3 linked regions of the Drosophila melanogaster genome follow. The protein of the gene in region 1 binds, or shares a complex with, the protein of each later gene. Each region holds a gene or a part of one and is shown in the gene's direction. Other genes may lie near its edges. The genes, in order: eIF3m, eIF3d2 and eIF3e.

What was found.
Region 2: eIF3m (region 1) and eIF3d2 share a complex: the UniProt entries of both Drosophila melanogaster proteins name them as parts of the eukaryotic translation initiation factor 3 (eIF-3) complex.
Region 3: eIF3m (region 1) and eIF3e share a complex: the UniProt entries of both Drosophila melanogaster proteins name them as parts of the eukaryotic translation initiation factor 3 (eIF-3) complex.

The regions. Positions count from the first base shown.
Region 1 is NT_033778.4:14,161,579-14,166,894, reverse strand, and holds eIF3m (eukaryotic translation initiation factor 3 subunit m), read left to right. Parts: upstream 1-2,069; 5' UTR 2,070-2,363; coding exon 2,364-2,408; intron 2,409-2,524; coding exon 2,525-2,704; intron 2,705-2,758; coding exon 2,759-3,697; 3' UTR 3,698-3,829; downstream 3,830-5,316. Other genes in the region: CG8323 (uncharacterized protein), read right to left, coding at 225-752, 1,171-1,306, 1,370-1,617; O-fut1 (O-fucosyltransferase 1), read right to left, coding at 4,169-5,259, 5,315-5,316. UniProt on the Drosophila melanogaster protein: Component of the eukaryotic translation initiation factor 3 (eIF-3) complex, which is involved in protein synthesis of a specialized repertoire of mRNAs and, together with other initiation factors, stimulates binding of mRNA and methionyl-tRNAi to the 40S ribosome.
Region 2 is NT_033777.3:12,193,412-12,198,727, reverse strand, and holds the start of eIF3d2 (eukaryotic translation initiation factor 3 subunit d2), read left to right. Parts: upstream 1-3,716; 5' UTR 3,717-3,775; coding exon 3,776-4,768; intron 4,769-4,845; coding exon 4,846-5,316. Other genes in the region: Adk1 (adenosine kinase 1), read right to left, coding at 1-31, 138-642; CG43450 (uncharacterized protein), read right to left, coding at 3,241-3,387. UniProt on the Drosophila melanogaster protein: mRNA cap-binding component of the eukaryotic translation initiation factor 3 (eIF-3) complex, which is involved in protein synthesis of a specialized repertoire of mRNAs and, together with other initiation factors, stimulates binding of mRNA and methionyl-tRNAi to the 40S ribosome.
Region 3 is NT_037436.4:16,783,339-16,788,654, reverse strand, and holds eIF3e (eukaryotic translation initiation factor 3 subunit e), read left to right. Parts: upstream 1-1,713; 5' UTR 1,714-1,821; coding exon 1,822-1,911; intron 1,912-2,005; coding exon 2,006-2,398; intron 2,399-2,484; coding exon 2,485-3,309; 3' UTR 3,310-3,413; downstream 3,414-5,316. Other genes in the region: CG9674 (uncharacterized protein), read left to right, coding at 112-245; CG9706 (uncharacterized protein), read right to left, coding at 3,604-3,777, 3,943-5,316. UniProt on the Drosophila melanogaster protein: Component of the eukaryotic translation initiation factor 3 (eIF-3) complex, which is involved in protein synthesis of a specialized repertoire of mRNAs and, together with other initiation factors, stimulates binding of mRNA and methionyl-tRNAi to the 40S ribosome.

The DNA.
Region 1 (5,316 bases):
GGCTTTGCTAATCTAAGAGATTGGAACTAGGACATTAAGCTAACTCACTAAAGACTAAAGCCAGATTTAGACAAACAAATTGTATGCGGCGGCACTTGCATATCAAATTTGTTTATCAAAGCTTGGCTTAATAATAAAAAGCAATGTGTATATTTCCGGGTGGTAAAAACGATTTTAACAATTTTGTACTTAAATTAATGCTACCTAGCCAGTGATCTTTGGGGTCATTGATTACTATACTTTGTGCGTACGGCGACCAGCTCGTCAAAGAATAGCAGCACAAGGGTTGAGTGGGGGGCAATGCGCAAGTAGTTGGCCCAGAACCCCTTGTACATACCATAAACGCCCTCTGATCGTAGGATTTTCACAAAGCAGTCAAGCCAACCGCGATAAAGAAGACCGCGTCCTTCGGCGTCTACGCCCTGATTGTACAGACGCGTGGTGATTACATCTGGCGGCGTTATGGCCACCGACATAATGGATCCGGCTATCAAGCCAGCCGAGAAGGAGTTCAACGTGGGCTGGGTCACCAGATCGTACTGGACCAACAGGGCTTTGGTCTTACCAAAGGTGGCTATCTGGGCACCTGATCCCAAAGCCGCCCTGGGCAATGCGGCCACAGATCCTCTCCACAGTCCTCGTACTCCATTCCTGGAGTAGATCTGACGCAGGGCATCTGTCATGGAAGTATGGGCATGTTGGTAGCCAACGGCGATTTGCTTGGCGGCTTGTGATTGCAGCTGAGTTTTGATCTGGATGCAAAAGAAAGGACCATAAATAATAATATAGAAATATAGACATTGTACATAAGAGAATTGACTGTGATAATATGTTAATGTTTACAATACTTATTAAGTTATTTAGCGAATATTTTTCTGTTTCTAGATCTTGAAAATGTCTTGGTATAAATAGGCTAACAATAAATGCGTTATGTCATAAAGTAATAAGCAATGCAAACAACCATAAACAGTCAAAAAATATGGAATATTTGGAAGTATAATACTTTCTCCCTGGATATCTTGAAATGGTAGTATTTAGATACTGATGGACAATTGCCAATAAAGTCTCTTATCTGTGGAAGGTCCATAATGCTGATGAGCACGCGGCTCATTTAGATAAACTATGTATTTGTTTATGTAACCTCCCGCAGCATTCCCACAATTGGCGTACCAGGAAAAATGGACTGGAGAAGTAGCACCCCACGACGCCGCCGATGGCGCCCCACAGTAGTCCCATTCCGTAGGACACCTCACCCTTCCGGTTGTGCATCCACCGCCTCTCCATTGCCTCCGAATAAATGCTGAGCCTGGCGAATGTAAATTCAAGATGATTAATAATTATAAAATATAGCTACTAAATAATTCCCCACCGGAAGGAATTGATGATGAACTGGAAGTACAAGGCCGGTGCGAGGCCCTTTTGGAGCCCCGTAATGCCATCATTTTTGGCCACCGTAATGAAGGCATTGACAATCCCCTTGTAGGGCTCCACATAGGTACCCCGTGCCGCCAGCTCGCCCTGCAGCTGGATCCGTGTCTTGATCACCTCGATGGGATTGGTGAAGAAGGTGGCCCCCACGGAGGCCAGGCCGCCCAGAACAAAATCCGATGTAGCCATGTAATCACGAGTTCTGCTGAGGATAGTGGTTGACTAGTAACGGTTGTACCGCCTGCTGCGGAATCTCTGTGGCTCTAGGAAGCCGCACGCTGCGTGTGTGTCGTGTATTTCATAATTCTCCGCCCCGATTAGCTGGCATTACTCCTGCTCTTCTCGCCCGTTATACAAATATAATATAAATTTGGCGAGCAATATAACTTAGTAGCAGCGGAGTTGCCAGACTGTCGCCAAATTAACAATTTAACAAAAATCGTGTCATTTTGCTTAACTGTAAAGTGATAAATGTAAAATAAATAACTGCTGGATGGTAAATTTAAAATTCAGGAGAAACGGGTTTTAGAACGTTAGTAACGGTACGGCTAAGAAGTCACTTAGTGACTTATATGTTTCAGAAGATCCGGGAACACTACTTTTGCCCACATTTATTGTTAGCTAGAGTCCCGTCAAAACATTTATAAAATTGATTTTTATGTCAGCATTAATACACTTGCAAAGCCATAACTATTTTAATTTTATTGAACTGAATGAATTTCAGAGGAATATTATATATTTTAAGTGGCCACGTTAACGTCATCTTAATTTAATTCGGTCAATTGTTTGAGAGCATCGCTATTAGCGGGAAACGGACCAGGCCGGCAGCACTGGTCGCTCTCTTTCCTTTCGAGCTGTCAAAGCGCCGAAGACGTGTGTGCGTGTTATTTTCAGCTGAATTTGTTTAAAAAAGTGGAATAACATTTAACAAAACCATGACTTCGCATCCGGTTTTCATAGACCTGTCCCTGGACGAGCAGGTAGAGTGAAAGTGCCCTGTTTTAGCCATGAATTCGGGCGGCGCCTTGCCCGAATTGAGGTTATGTCTTCCTCTTGCTGCAAAACAAAACTAATATTATTCGCAATTTATTAAAAGGTGCAAGAGCTGCGCAAGTATTTCAAGAAGCTGGGAGCCGAAATCTCATCGGAGAAGTCCAATAAAGGTGTGGAGGATGATTTGCACAAGATCATCGGCGTCTGCGACGTTTGCTTTAAGGATGGTGAGCCCTCGCAGATTGATGGAATTCTAAACAGCATTGTGTCCATCATGATCACGGTGAGTAATACAGAATACAATATTAGCAACAAAAAATAACCTTCAATATTTCAGATACCCCTGGATCGCGGTGAGAACATTGTCCTGGCCTACTGCGAGAAGATGACCAAGGCTCCCAATCTTCCATTGGGCAAGGTGTGCCTTCAGTCGTTGTGGCGTCTGTTCAACAACCTGGACACCGCCTCTCCCTTACGCTACCATGTGTACTACCACCTGGTCCAGGTGGCCAAGCAGTGCGAACAGGTGCTGGAGGTCTTCTCAGGTGTGGATCAGCTCAAATCCCAGTTTGCCAACTGCCCACCTTCGTCGGAACAGATGCAGAAGCTGTACCGCCTGCTGCACGACGTGACCAAGGACACCAACCTGGAGCTGTCTTCCAAGGTTATGATTGAGCTGCTGGGCACCTACACGGCGGACAATGCTTGTGTTGCCCGTGAGGATGCCATGAAGTGCATTGTGACTGCCTTGGCCGACCCCAATACATTCCTGCTGGATCCTCTGCTGTCGCTGAAGCCTGTGCGCTTTTTGGAAGGCGACCTCATCCACGACCTGCTGTCCATCTTCGTGTCCGAGAAGCTGCCAGCGTACGTGCAGTTCTACGAGGATCACAGGGAGTTTGTCAACTCGCAAGGATTGAACCATGAGCAGAACATGAAGAAGATGCGTCTGCTGACCTTCATGCAGCTGGCCGAGAGCAGCCCGGAGATGACATTCGAAACGCTTACCAAGGAGCTGCAGATCAACGAAGACGAGGTGGAGCCCTTCGTCATCGAGGTGCTGAAAACAAAGCTGGTACGCGCACGACTAGATCAGGCCAATCAAAAGGTACACATCTCATCGACAATGCACCGAACCTTTGGAGCACCACAATGGGAGCAGCTTCGCGATTTGCTGCAGGCATGGAAGGAGAACCTCAGCACAGTGCGCGAGGGTCTAACGAGCGTCTCCTCGGCGCAACTGGATCTGGCTCGATCCCAGAAGCTGATACACTAGGCGCACCACTTCCAAAAAATTGCACTGATGATGAACAAATGCTGGCCTCGGGGCACTGGAGTGACGACCTAAATTATTTTCAAGAATGCGAGAGGGCTGGATAACTTGAATAAATTTATAAGTAAAATCGGTAGCAAACAAGTGTTTTCATAAATGCGAGGAATACTTTAATAGCTTACAATTAAGTTGTAGTGTTTTTGAAGGCATTTAACGGGTTTCATTAAAATCCTTTTTAAGAATTAAAGCTAAAAGAATAAAACATAAATATACTGATATTCTTTAAAAGCACTAAATATTGGTAACATTCAAAAGTAAATTCATTAAATTTGTAAGTTGAAACTTTTACCTTAACCATTTAAGAAGTGAAGTCCAGAATATTGCTTAATCAATGTAATAAAACTGTCTAGTATTAGGAAAGAAAACCGAAAAATAGCCTATTCGAGTATTTAAGTAGATAATCCTGTTGCTCCATTACAGCTCCTCGTGCACGTTTGTATGCTTACGATCCTTTTCCTTGGGGAATCCCCAGAAGTACGATGGAAAACCGTGCACATCTCGTTCCCTTTTTTCGAATGCCGAGTAAGAGGATATACAGTTGCCGATAAAGTGGTTCGACTGTCCGAGAATGGCCAAGTCCAGGTAAGGATCATCCTCCGGCAGCTTGTGCACACTGATGCCCATGCGACTAAGGGCCGTGTTTAGTTCACCAATCATGTGATTGGAGTCTGACGCCACGAAAACTGATTTGATTTCGTTGTCCGGCTGAGTTTGGCGCACGTTCTTAATGGTTCTCTTTAGCTGGCGGATGATCGCCTCCTTGGAGGGCATGCAGAGCTCCGGGTAGAGTGCACCACGTTCATTTTTATAGCCCAAGCACTGCGGCGAGGCAAACAGATGCTGGCTATCCTTGACGTGCTCACAGGCTCTCACCCAATCGATACCGTTGCGCAGATGAATGCCCAAAAAGGCACCCCGAGGCAACTGCTCTCGGATGAAATCCTTAGATGCTTCCCTATACCGTTGACTCCACTGCAAGTAGCGCTGCAGCTTGCAGTTCTCTAGCTGAACAGGAAAACTAGCCGGAGCTCCGGTGAACGCGAGTACGGGATATGATTCTGCAGGATATTTGGTCTGCCACTTGGCAGCCTCGTTGCTATGATGCACATCAAAATGAAGTGGCGCATAGAACTCTGACCGCACAAAGTCTATGTGAAAAGTGTCCCAAAAGGGACCAAAAGGATTGCCATCCTTGGCGTGGCAATTGGGCTTGTCTGGATCGTTCTTCTCCTGCTGAAGGCTATATCGTTCCTTGTAGCAAAATGACACTCGCTCCGATTCTGGCCAAATGTCGTCGGCCAGGTGCCACATGAAATCTGCCATGGTGATGACGCGATGGTATTCCTTCAGGGGCTCCACTTCAAAATATGTGTTGAACGGTACCTGACGGGATCGCAGTTCACCCCTACGATACTCCACCCACGGCGGCAGGATCAGGGTGCGATTAAGCGCCTTGGCGAAGGCCAATGATCCCAGGAAGTGGTCGGCCTGGTTGCCAAAGCGTCCTTTGAAAAGCGCGGTTTAGTTGTCGTTTTTCGGTTGCTTCCAAGTGAAACTTACCC
Region 2 (5,316 bases), on another chromosome or scaffold:
TTTGGACCGTTGATGATCACAGCACAAGAGCCTGAGAAATGAAAACGAATGAAATGTAGCTAATTTGTTATGCAAAACTTTTTATTATTCATAAGGTGCTCAGCTAGGTATTTTTCTTTTACTAAATTTGATCATACCTGTCGGCAGCTCTTCCTTCAGCTGATAAAGTGTTAGCAGGCCATCGGATTTGGCCCTCTTTTCGATGCGATCACCTAGCTTATCCTTGCCCACTGACCCTATGAACACAGCTCGAAATGGTGTCTGCACGATCCACTGGAAGATCCGCATCGAGTTCTGACAGGCTCCACCCGCCGAATAGATGACATTTTCCATGTTCATCAACTCATCAAACAGGGCATCGTGCTTTTCATCAGCAATGATCGCAGCATTTGCTTCCAGGCCGTACTTCTCCAGGATCACATTATCCTCAACGGTGCAGGTGATGTCCAGCAGGGGGTTGCCAAAGCCCATAAGTATTCCCTCTGGTAGATCCATTCTTCGGTGTTCCTGACAATCGCAGAAACTCCTAAAGGAAGTTCGAAAGACGCCACCAGAAAAATGCTGGAATGCTGGGGGATGGATCGGAGTTCTTCGGAACAATCGGAATGATTTTATACTGAGGCCAAAAACCCGCCTGGACATTCCCAATATTAGACCCTCGCCGATTCTTGAGAACTCCTACACCTGATGGATTCTACGCCTATTTGTCGTTCATGCTGTTTTACTGTATCGAACTGTTTAATTTGATTGATGTGACAAAATTTATGAGTGGAAGAGAACAGCTCGCCCCTCCGACGAAATTTATTTCCCTCAGTTGGTTAAAACGTTAATTACCTGCATAAATCAATCAGAACAATTAATATTGTTGTGGCCCAATTTAATGTGCTATTAATTACGTATCCATCTTGTCGATGGAAGTATGTATAATTGCTGTGCAATTACGTTGGTGCCTGCCTTCGTGGAGAAGGAGGTAGCTTTGGGGGATTTTATTTTCATTTCTCTGCCGGAGATGAATGAATTGAATGTAAGTGGGCTTGACAAGTAGGCGGAAGGGGCAGTCGGGGTGGGTGCTGGGAATGAATGCAGCCACCCAGAACGTGAATGTCCTTCCGCCGCCAAAAAAACATCAGCAGTGGAGGAGCATCCTGGGGGTGGGGAATGAAAAACAATGGCATTGCAGTGCTTTGCACAAGTTGCCTGGCATAAATTTTAATTTTTATGCAACACAAAAGCTGCAGAAGCAGCCCGAGTTTCCGACGCGCGTTGGAGCCATACAAAATCAGAAATAATAAATTGAGCACCGATTGATTGATACCCTCGGCTCTAAGGGTAGACAACTTGTTTAATATTTAATATCAAATGAGTTTGACTATGGTACGCTGTAGGAATCATATTAATATATATACTTATTGTTAAACTTAAGTATAAATACGGTATTGTCTTAAGCTGATTAACGTTTTGGCTTATGAAAACGCATAGGGCTTTATTATAGGCCATTTAACTTCTTATTCTAAACAGTTTCGGATAATGTATTGATTTAGTTAGGGTATTTTTCAAAGGAAGATAGATATCACCGGCTGAAACGACACCCCATAGCTTTGCTTAAGTGTTCCGTCTTGTTATCAATATTTGTCGCCATAAAAATGCAAAATACCATCGATTCCGCGCATTAATTCCCAGTAATTTTGAATATAAATTGTGCTGTGAAAATGTGTTTTTAATTTCACTTTCAGTTGGATCGCGTGCTCATAATATAGCATACCCTTTTGGGGAGGATGAGGTGTTTGGCGGTGGCGGGTGGCGGGCGGCAGTGCACTGCAGTGGCGTCGTTTATCGCTCGCGAGCCCCGCAAAGTATGCAAGCGGTTTTTCACTTTGCTTCTCCTGTTGTTATTTTTGTTGGTTGCTCTAGTACTAGTAGTAGTTTCTGTTGTTGTTGTCGTTCTTGTTGTTCTTGTTGCTTTTGTTCGCTGGGTAAGTACTTACTTATGTGCCAGGGCATTATTCTTGGCTGTGTTCCTTTCACCAAGCCGCTACCGCTTTTTCCTACAAGACCGGCAGTGGCAGAAGAAAAGCTTCAGCGGCAGGAGCGATTGCAGATGAGCTGGAGATGAGAGGGTAAATCCGGAGGTTGGAAAGCGGAAGGCGGATGGGGATGGAGAAACCGCAGCGGTGACGTGGCAATGCAGCTGCATAATGTGGCATGCGGTTTGCATTAAAAATGATATTGCAACACGAGCCGCACATCTGCAGCTGTGTGCAGTTAGGCGCCGCCTGCAGTCACTGACAGCCGCATGGCAATTATAATCCACACACACATACACTCACTCAGACGCACACTCATCCACGGCTTATGGCTACACTGAAATCAATTCAATGGTAAAATAGGAATTATTTCAGTCAAAATAAGTTCCCATTGTTATTGCTCCACAGAACCCATTATTATATTCTTGGTATGCATTCTTGGTCTTCTATTCTTACATTTGACATTATCTCTTCATATTCTCGCAGTGTATCAACAGAGAAGTGCGAGGGAATCTGGAGCCGGGCCATGTAAGCAGCAGCTGCCAGTGACATACACATCAACATGACACCCTGTCGCTTGACAAAGCTTAGCTCAGGATCTGGGTGCTGGAAGAGGGGCGGAGGCACCGCACTCCCACTGTCATCCCGCTCGCACCCATATCATTTTCCACACATTCAGGCACATTCACACGCTCGACATGTTGCTTTTTGGGTATGAGCCGGAGTGCAGGATGTCCGCTTCCTTTTTCGCCGCCTCACACGTTGTTATCTAACAAGCTTTTTATGTGATTACCTTTTGCCTTCTGTTAGTTTTACTATAATTTGGCCTTTACGCTTAACGAGATTGTTGTAAGGTGCTCCCAGCCAAGAATAAGGAAACCGAACCGGAACACAGTGAGGACTGAGCCAAGTTGACCAGATCCAGCACACAGGACACTCGTCCCATTGTAGTGCACTCCGCTGTTGTTCCTTTGCTTTCCTGATACTTGGGTCAGAACAATGGTGCTGGAGTTGGAGTCATATGAATGGAGTCATGTCGATGTGAGCTTAGATGCGTCGTCAAGTGATAATCCCGTCACAGTACCCCGCTTCCTGTACCATTTCCACAGCTCAACAAACATTTATTTGTGCGCTTAGTGAGGGTTTTTTATAAAAGATAATAAGAAACAAGAATTTGTCGGCTGGAAGGGGATCCCCGCGCCCATCCTGGATCAGCTCACCATGCGGAGGATGAGAATAATCGTGGCCAATGAGAGCAGCACGACGTTGACGGAGAACCGAAAGACGAACAGGCAATTACACATTTCTTCATTGTGGTTGCGGTGGTGTTTAATTGGGGGCAGGGCGTCCTCCTAAGATTCATTCTCCAAACGTCTTACTTCTCACTTTGTGTAGTTTATAGGGTTTCGGTGTGACTAGAAATACAAATAAGACTGAGCTTTTATTGTGAGGAATTGGTATCTTTTGATTTCTCACAATAGGCTTCAATCTACTTACTATAGGCTTTTGAAGAAATCTTTTTAGTTGTCTATCAAAAATTATTTAAAGATTGGATATTCGGTTATTTCCTTAATGGATAAAACCGCCTTTTTCATATTATAACATTATCCAAACGTAGGGCTTGGAAAATTTTCCCAAGCTGTCAAGCCGGCCATACGAAATCAGCTCAGTGTAATTTGTACCTCGACAAAACCGGATCACATAAATGTAAATACTTGCTCTTGGTTATTTAAACATCTTTCGGCGTGATTATGTCCAACTACGCACCCTTTATCAAGCCCTATGTGGAGTACAACGAGCACGGCTGGGGTCCTTGCGAGGTACCCGAATTGGATGTGCCCTACCAGCCGTTCTGCAAAAGTGATCGCCTGGGCAAGATCTGCGACTGGACTGCGATGGTGCCCGAGAAGAAGTTCCCCAGTAAATACGCCTCGACCTTTGGCAACAACAGTCAGTACGCATACTTCTACGAGGACGATGACTCCACCTTCCATTTGGTGGACACCACTGGATCGAAGGCCACCAAGCCCTATCAGCGGGGACGCTATAGACCCAATATGCGCAACAATGTGAGGAGCAGGGGTCGCACGGGGCGTGGCACTCCGAATATAGCAAGTCTCGGGGGATCCACGGCTGGAGGCGCAACTGCCAGTACCACCAAGTACGGAAAGGGTCGCAATACACGCAACACGCAGAATATGGGTCGCAGATTCGGTCGCAATGCTCCCACCAGAATCCGCGAGAGCTCAGTGATGGTGCAATCGGATTGGGTTTCGATCGAGGAGATTGATTTTCCACGCCTTCTCAAGCTGGCACTTCCCAATATTAAAGATGGTAAGGACATTGCCACCTGCGGATGGCTGGAATTTTATGATAAGTTATACGATCGAGTCAACTTACGCAATGAAAAACCATTGCAAAAGATGGATCGTGTTGTGCACACCGTGACGACCACGGATGATCCGGTTATTCGTCGTCTTTCGAGGACCATGGGCAATGTCTTTGCCACCGACGAAATCTTGTCCACCATAATGTGCTGCACACGCTCCAATTACTCTTGGGATGTGGTAGTCGAGAAATTGGGCACTAAGGTGTTCTTAGATAAGAGATATAATGATCAATTTGATTTGCTGACTGTCAACGAGACTTCAGTAGAACCTCCGATGGATGAGGAGGGTTCCATCAATTCGGCACATAGCTTGGCAATGGAGGCCACTCTAATTAATCACAACTTTAGCCAGCAGGTAGGTTTACAGTAGGTTTCAATTTATGTTATTTGTTATTGTACGTTTTTAAATCTTATGTTATTTATTTTTAAAAGGTTCTTCGCATTGGCGACCAAGAGCCACGTTTCATGTTTGAGGAGCCCAATCCGTTCGAGGAGCCAGGCGTGGATCTTGCCTCCATTGGCTATCGCTACCGTCAGTGGGATCTGGGCAACGATGTGGTGCTGATTGCTCGCTGCAAGCACAATGGGGTTATCCAAGGACCCAATGGGGACGTGCAGTTCCTCTCGATCAAGGCGCTGAATGAATGGGACTCCAAGGTGACCAACAGTGTGGAGTGGCGCCAGAAGTTGGACACCCAGCGCGGTGCAGTCTTGGCCTCCGAGTTGCGCAACAATGCTTGTAAGCTAGCTCGATGGACCGTTGAGGCTGTGCTGGCTGGTTCCGATCAACTGAAGTTAGGCTATGTGTCCAGGATGAATCCGCGTGATCACCTGCGTCACGTGATCCTTGGCACACAGCAATTCAAGCCGCAGGAGTTCGCCACCCAAATCAACCTGAACATG
Region 3 (5,316 bases), on another chromosome or scaffold:
TTATGTCTACTAAGTAATAGGCTTAGTATTAAGAGTTAATCACATCAATCATTGAATGATTTCTGTATCTTTGCATAACAAAAATGTTAATTTATCTTCTGTCCTTTGCAGATTGCCGGCGTGGCCAGTCGCTGGTCGTCTGGGCCATTACCGAGGGTCGCCAGGCCGCACGACAGGTCGATTCCTATCTGACCGGCCGTCCCAGTGGGCTTCCAGGACCTGGTGGCGTCATCGCGACATCCTAAAGAGGATCCACAGAGGCAGCCAGAGCAGCTAATATCAAGTTTTGTGTGCGTGCATCGTCCTTAGCCTATAGTGCGAAATTCTTTAACGATTTGTGATTTTTATTTTCGCGATTTTAGTTTAGTTTACACTAAAAAGACTTGAGTTTTTTACACACCAAACCAAAACGAAACACGTTTCATTTAGTTTTATTTTGATCGCAAAGCTGGCTGGGAATTGTTAGTGGTTCGTCGAGATGCCCTCCATATGATGATGATGATGATGATGATGATGCGGCAGGAGTCAATTAAGAGTGCAAACTGAAATTCTGATTGAAGCCAATCAATATGTATATCTTAACGGAAATCGAATATCCAACAAAAAATCTAAGGACAATAACTAGAAACTTACCGTTATCGTTAAAATGAAAATTAATTGAACATTAAATATTTAGAAAATGCATTTTTTCAATGTTGTTTTAGCTTGAGTTGCCTAATCTATGCAAACGAAATATATGAAGTGAAAATTGATATGCTGATCTCCACCATCCTATATACAATCCATAAATCGTATATACAGAAAGAGAAATGTATTAAACTCGGCCAATATCGAAACGCATTTTTTAGATGTTGTTTTTGTGTTTTGAACTGCATTCGACCGTTGACCGCAAATGTACCTAAGTGGCTATTGTTAAAACAAATCTGCTCTTTGGCAGTTGAATGTGCGAATACAAAGAATTACACAATTTATACAAAACATATTTAACCCAAATGTATACCCTTATACAGACATCTCTATATAAATATATTTATGTGCAAGTATTTGATGAAATAAATATTCAAATTATTAAAAAGCATTTCTCCGATGAGTTGATATTTGTGTTTTGAATTTGGCATGGGAAATATATTTATTAATAGCTTGAAAAGAGAGGCAACGTCTTTTTGAAATTAAAAACCTTTGTTATATGTATACCTTGTAATTTAAAATTATTGGTATTTTACGTAAAGCGTATAACTTTAAAGGAATGAGAAACCATTGTAATGTAGAAAATATTTAATAATATTTCTTTAAATTCATTGTATGGTAACTTATGTAGTTACCGCTTTATTTAATTACTAAGTACAATATCTTGTTGTTTTATGCCGTAAGCTTGTTACGAGCGGAGCTGAAGTTCCAGTGTGTCCAGTCTGACGATAAGAAGACAGAAGATATCGTCCTCCAGGAAAGGTCTTGGCGTTAGTACCTCTTTTCGCCGTGATGCCAGACCGGGTTTCAGTCTGGGCGCCACAATTGAAATAATAATTTTTTATTGCTATAATAGCCATGCTAAGATAATAGAAATTTTGAAAATTGAGTATTTTTTGAAAGTTGTTTCAATGACTTAATTTTATTTTAAATAAATGCGCCACTTTGAAAGCTTGAAAAAAATACGGCTTCAGGGTCATGGTATTTAATGTCGTGGAAATACCACACTCTGGTAACTCTGAGCGGGCGTCACTCTTTTCGTCTCTGGGCACACTGTCGGCCCTCGCACGCGTATTTTTCTGCCGATTTTGCGTGTAAATTTAATTGTGAAAACATAGTAAAACAGCTGCAATCATGGCCAATTTCGATCTGACACGCATCAATTGCCAGTTTTTGGACAGGCATTTGACCTTCCCGCTGCTGGAGTTCTTGTGCGGCAAGGAGGTTAGAAAAGCGACCAGGCGGTGCTCCGCTGGCGGTTGCCGAGTCACCAGTACATAACTATGGGAAATCTTCATATGTGTGACTTTCGTTGCAGATCTACAACCAGCAGGAGCTGCTGGAGTACATTTTGGAGACGGTGAACAAGACGAACATGATCGATTACACGATGGACACCCGCAAGCGTCTCAATCTCAGCCAGGAGATGCCCGAGGAGCTCGTGCAGCGCAAGGCGGAGGTCCTGGCCACGCTTAAGCAGCTGCAGAACGAGGTGGCACCCATCATGAAGGCCACCGACATTCTTAAGAACGGTGAGAGCATGAAGGACTCGAAGACCTTCGTCAACGCCCTTCAGAAGGACTACAATTTTAAGGTGGAGCACCTGGAGAGCGCCTACAAGCTGGCCAAGTACCTCTACGAGTGCGGCAACTATCAGGAGTCCACCTCTTACCTGTACTTCTGCCTCATCGTCATGTCGCCCAACGACAAGGTGCGTATGGAGCTAAATTAACATGAAAAGCGGCAAAAACCACTAAAACAAGAATATTAATTGATATTGTCTCCCAAATTTTGCAGAACTACCTTAATGTGCTGTGGGGCAAGCTGGCCGCCGAGATTCTGACCCTCAACTGGAACACTGCTCTGGAGGATCTGACGCGTTTGCGCGACTACATTGACAACGCCAACTTCAGCACCATCCAGGCCCTGCAGCAACGCACCTGGCTGATCCACTGGTCGGTCCTGGTCTTCTTCAATCACCCCAAGGGACGCGATCTCATTATTGAGATGTTCCTGTACAAGCCCCTGTATTTGAACGCCATTCAGACAATGTGTCCGCACATCATGCGTTACTTGGCCACCGCCGTAGTCATCAACCGCACCCGCCGCAATGCTCTAAAGGATTTGATCAAGGTGATCCAACAGGAGTCGTACACGTACCGCGATCCCATCACCGAGTTTCTGGAGTGTCTGTACGTGAACTTTGATTTCGAGGGAGCGCGTCTGAAGCTGCACGAGTGCCAGACGGTGATCCTCAACGACTTCTTCATCGTGGCCTGCCTGAATGAGTTCGTGGAGGATGCCCGCTTGATGATCTTCGAGACATTCTGCCGCATCCACCAGTGCATCACCATCAGCATGCTGGCCGATAAGCTGAACATGAAGCCCAACGAGGCTGAGTGCTGGATCGTCAACCTTATCCGCAATGCCCGTCTGAATGCCAAGATCGATTCGAAACTGGGTCATGTGGTGATGGGCACCCAGCCCTTGAGTCCCTATCAGCAGCTGGTGGAGAAGATCGACTCGCTGTCCATGCGGTCGGAGCATTTGGCAGGTTTGATTGAGCGCAAGAGCAAGCAGAAGCAGAATCAGGAGTCGGCCGACTCCTGGAAGTACTACTAGTTGCTGACTTTTTATCCACAATTAAGTTAAGACTCTTTGTACCCTTTAAAAACCGATGATTGCGCGCAGTCGAGCGAATAAATTAACATCTTACTCATTCGCTCAATTCAACATTTGATTTTATTTCCTTCGGAATCAAAATTAGTTATACAAAAAACAATACCAAGGCGGGAATTTGTAATTTCGCTAGCCTACAGAATGCAAACGTCTGCTAATCCTAGAATTAGTTGTTTGTACCTACAAGTGGGTGCTGGATCTTTATGACGATCTGGCCCCGGATCACACTATTGATTGCTACCGCGATTTCTGCTTGACCACCAACCAGGATCTGACGGGCAGGTCCTGCAAGTAAACGATCCATTTGCGCACCAGCAGCAGCCACACTATGCCGTACAGAACGCAAATGCCCGACTCCAAGTAGTACCCATCGAAGGTTATCTCGCACTTGCCAGCCGACGCTTCACAGCTCTGCGGGAGAAAATTAAGAAAAATATTTGTTTAGTTACTTTTATCTCATAACTGGCAAAGTTTATCTTTTCCTGGTTTGGGGTAAAACTTTCACCATACATATGTATCCATATACAATAATAATAATAATCTTGTATGCTGTAGAATCTCTCTCTGAGCACTCACCTGTTGCTCCTCCTTGCCCTGGCAGGTATTTTCCGCATTATTGGAGCACTGCTTCCAGGTGAGCACGTCCACCAACCACAACACCACTGTGTTGGGCCAATTACCGCCCAGATTGCACAATGTGTTCAAAAATGTCATGTAAGTGCCACCGACGGCTGGATCGGAGATCTTGGCGAAAAAGGCCATGGCGGCCACAAACATGGAGTACAGGAATACTTGGTAGATGGCATAACTGGTGATCAGCAGGACGTAGTAATAAGCAGGCACGGCTCCTCCACGGACAATATAGGGTGTGATGTAGGCCAAGCCAGTGGCCACTGTTGCCATGATGATGCGATAGGGAATGGCCTTCAGATAGACGTCCATCGGACGTGGTCCGTTCGTATATCGACCGACCGCCAGCGGCAGAATGAGCTGCAGAGGAATTAGGGGAATGGCGAGTAAAGCCAGCTTATCCTTCGGTACACCAGCGTCAATGAGTTTTAAGCTGGTCACTGCATCAGAGGCTGCGAACGTGACCTTCACGGTGAGCAGAATTACAGCCAGAATTTGGACGGGACGCATGCACACCATGTCCCACAATATCTTGTAGCTCTCATGGATGTTCAACTCGTGCTCCTCCGTGTAGCGAGCGTCCATATGCGCGTCTTCGATGTCGTTCTCCTTCTTGAAAATTGCCACCAAAGTAGTGGCTACCACAAATGTAATGCCCCAGAACCAAAGGAAACGGGGCAATGTGATCATGCCATCCTCGAGTGGCACGTCTCTTATGTAGGTGTTGCAGAAATCCTTGGACTCCAGGGCAATGAACACCACATAGCCCAAGAAGTAGCCAGCTGTTTGGCCCACGCTATTGCAGGTGGATGCGTATCCAACATTGCATCGCTTCAGCATGGTCAAGGCCCAGCCATCCACGGCGATGTCCTGAGTGGCAGCCAGGAAGTTAAGCAGGAAGAAGAGCAGCGTCAGGAGCGGCACATTGGGATCGACACCGTTCCCGCCCAGCCAGCGATCCACGTGGAGGGAGAGGAGTAACATAAAGGCTCCCAGAAGGTATTGCACTGGGACTAGCCACGATTTCCGGCGTCCAAATCGCCGGATGTACAGGGAATCCACAATTGGAGCCCACAGCAGCTTTAAGCTGAATGGCCAGTAGGCGAATGAAAACTCCGCCTGTTGTTTGTAGCTAGCTCCTCTATTTTGCAGCAACATTGGTATGGCTGCTATGAGCCCGATGGGAATGCCCTGTAGAACGTACAGGAACAGCAGTATGGCTATATTCCTCCGGTCTCCACGAATATCTGGTTTCTGGTGCTCCGCCACCTTTTCCGACTTTGGTGGCTCGTCGATGAGCAACTCCTGGTCGGCATTGCT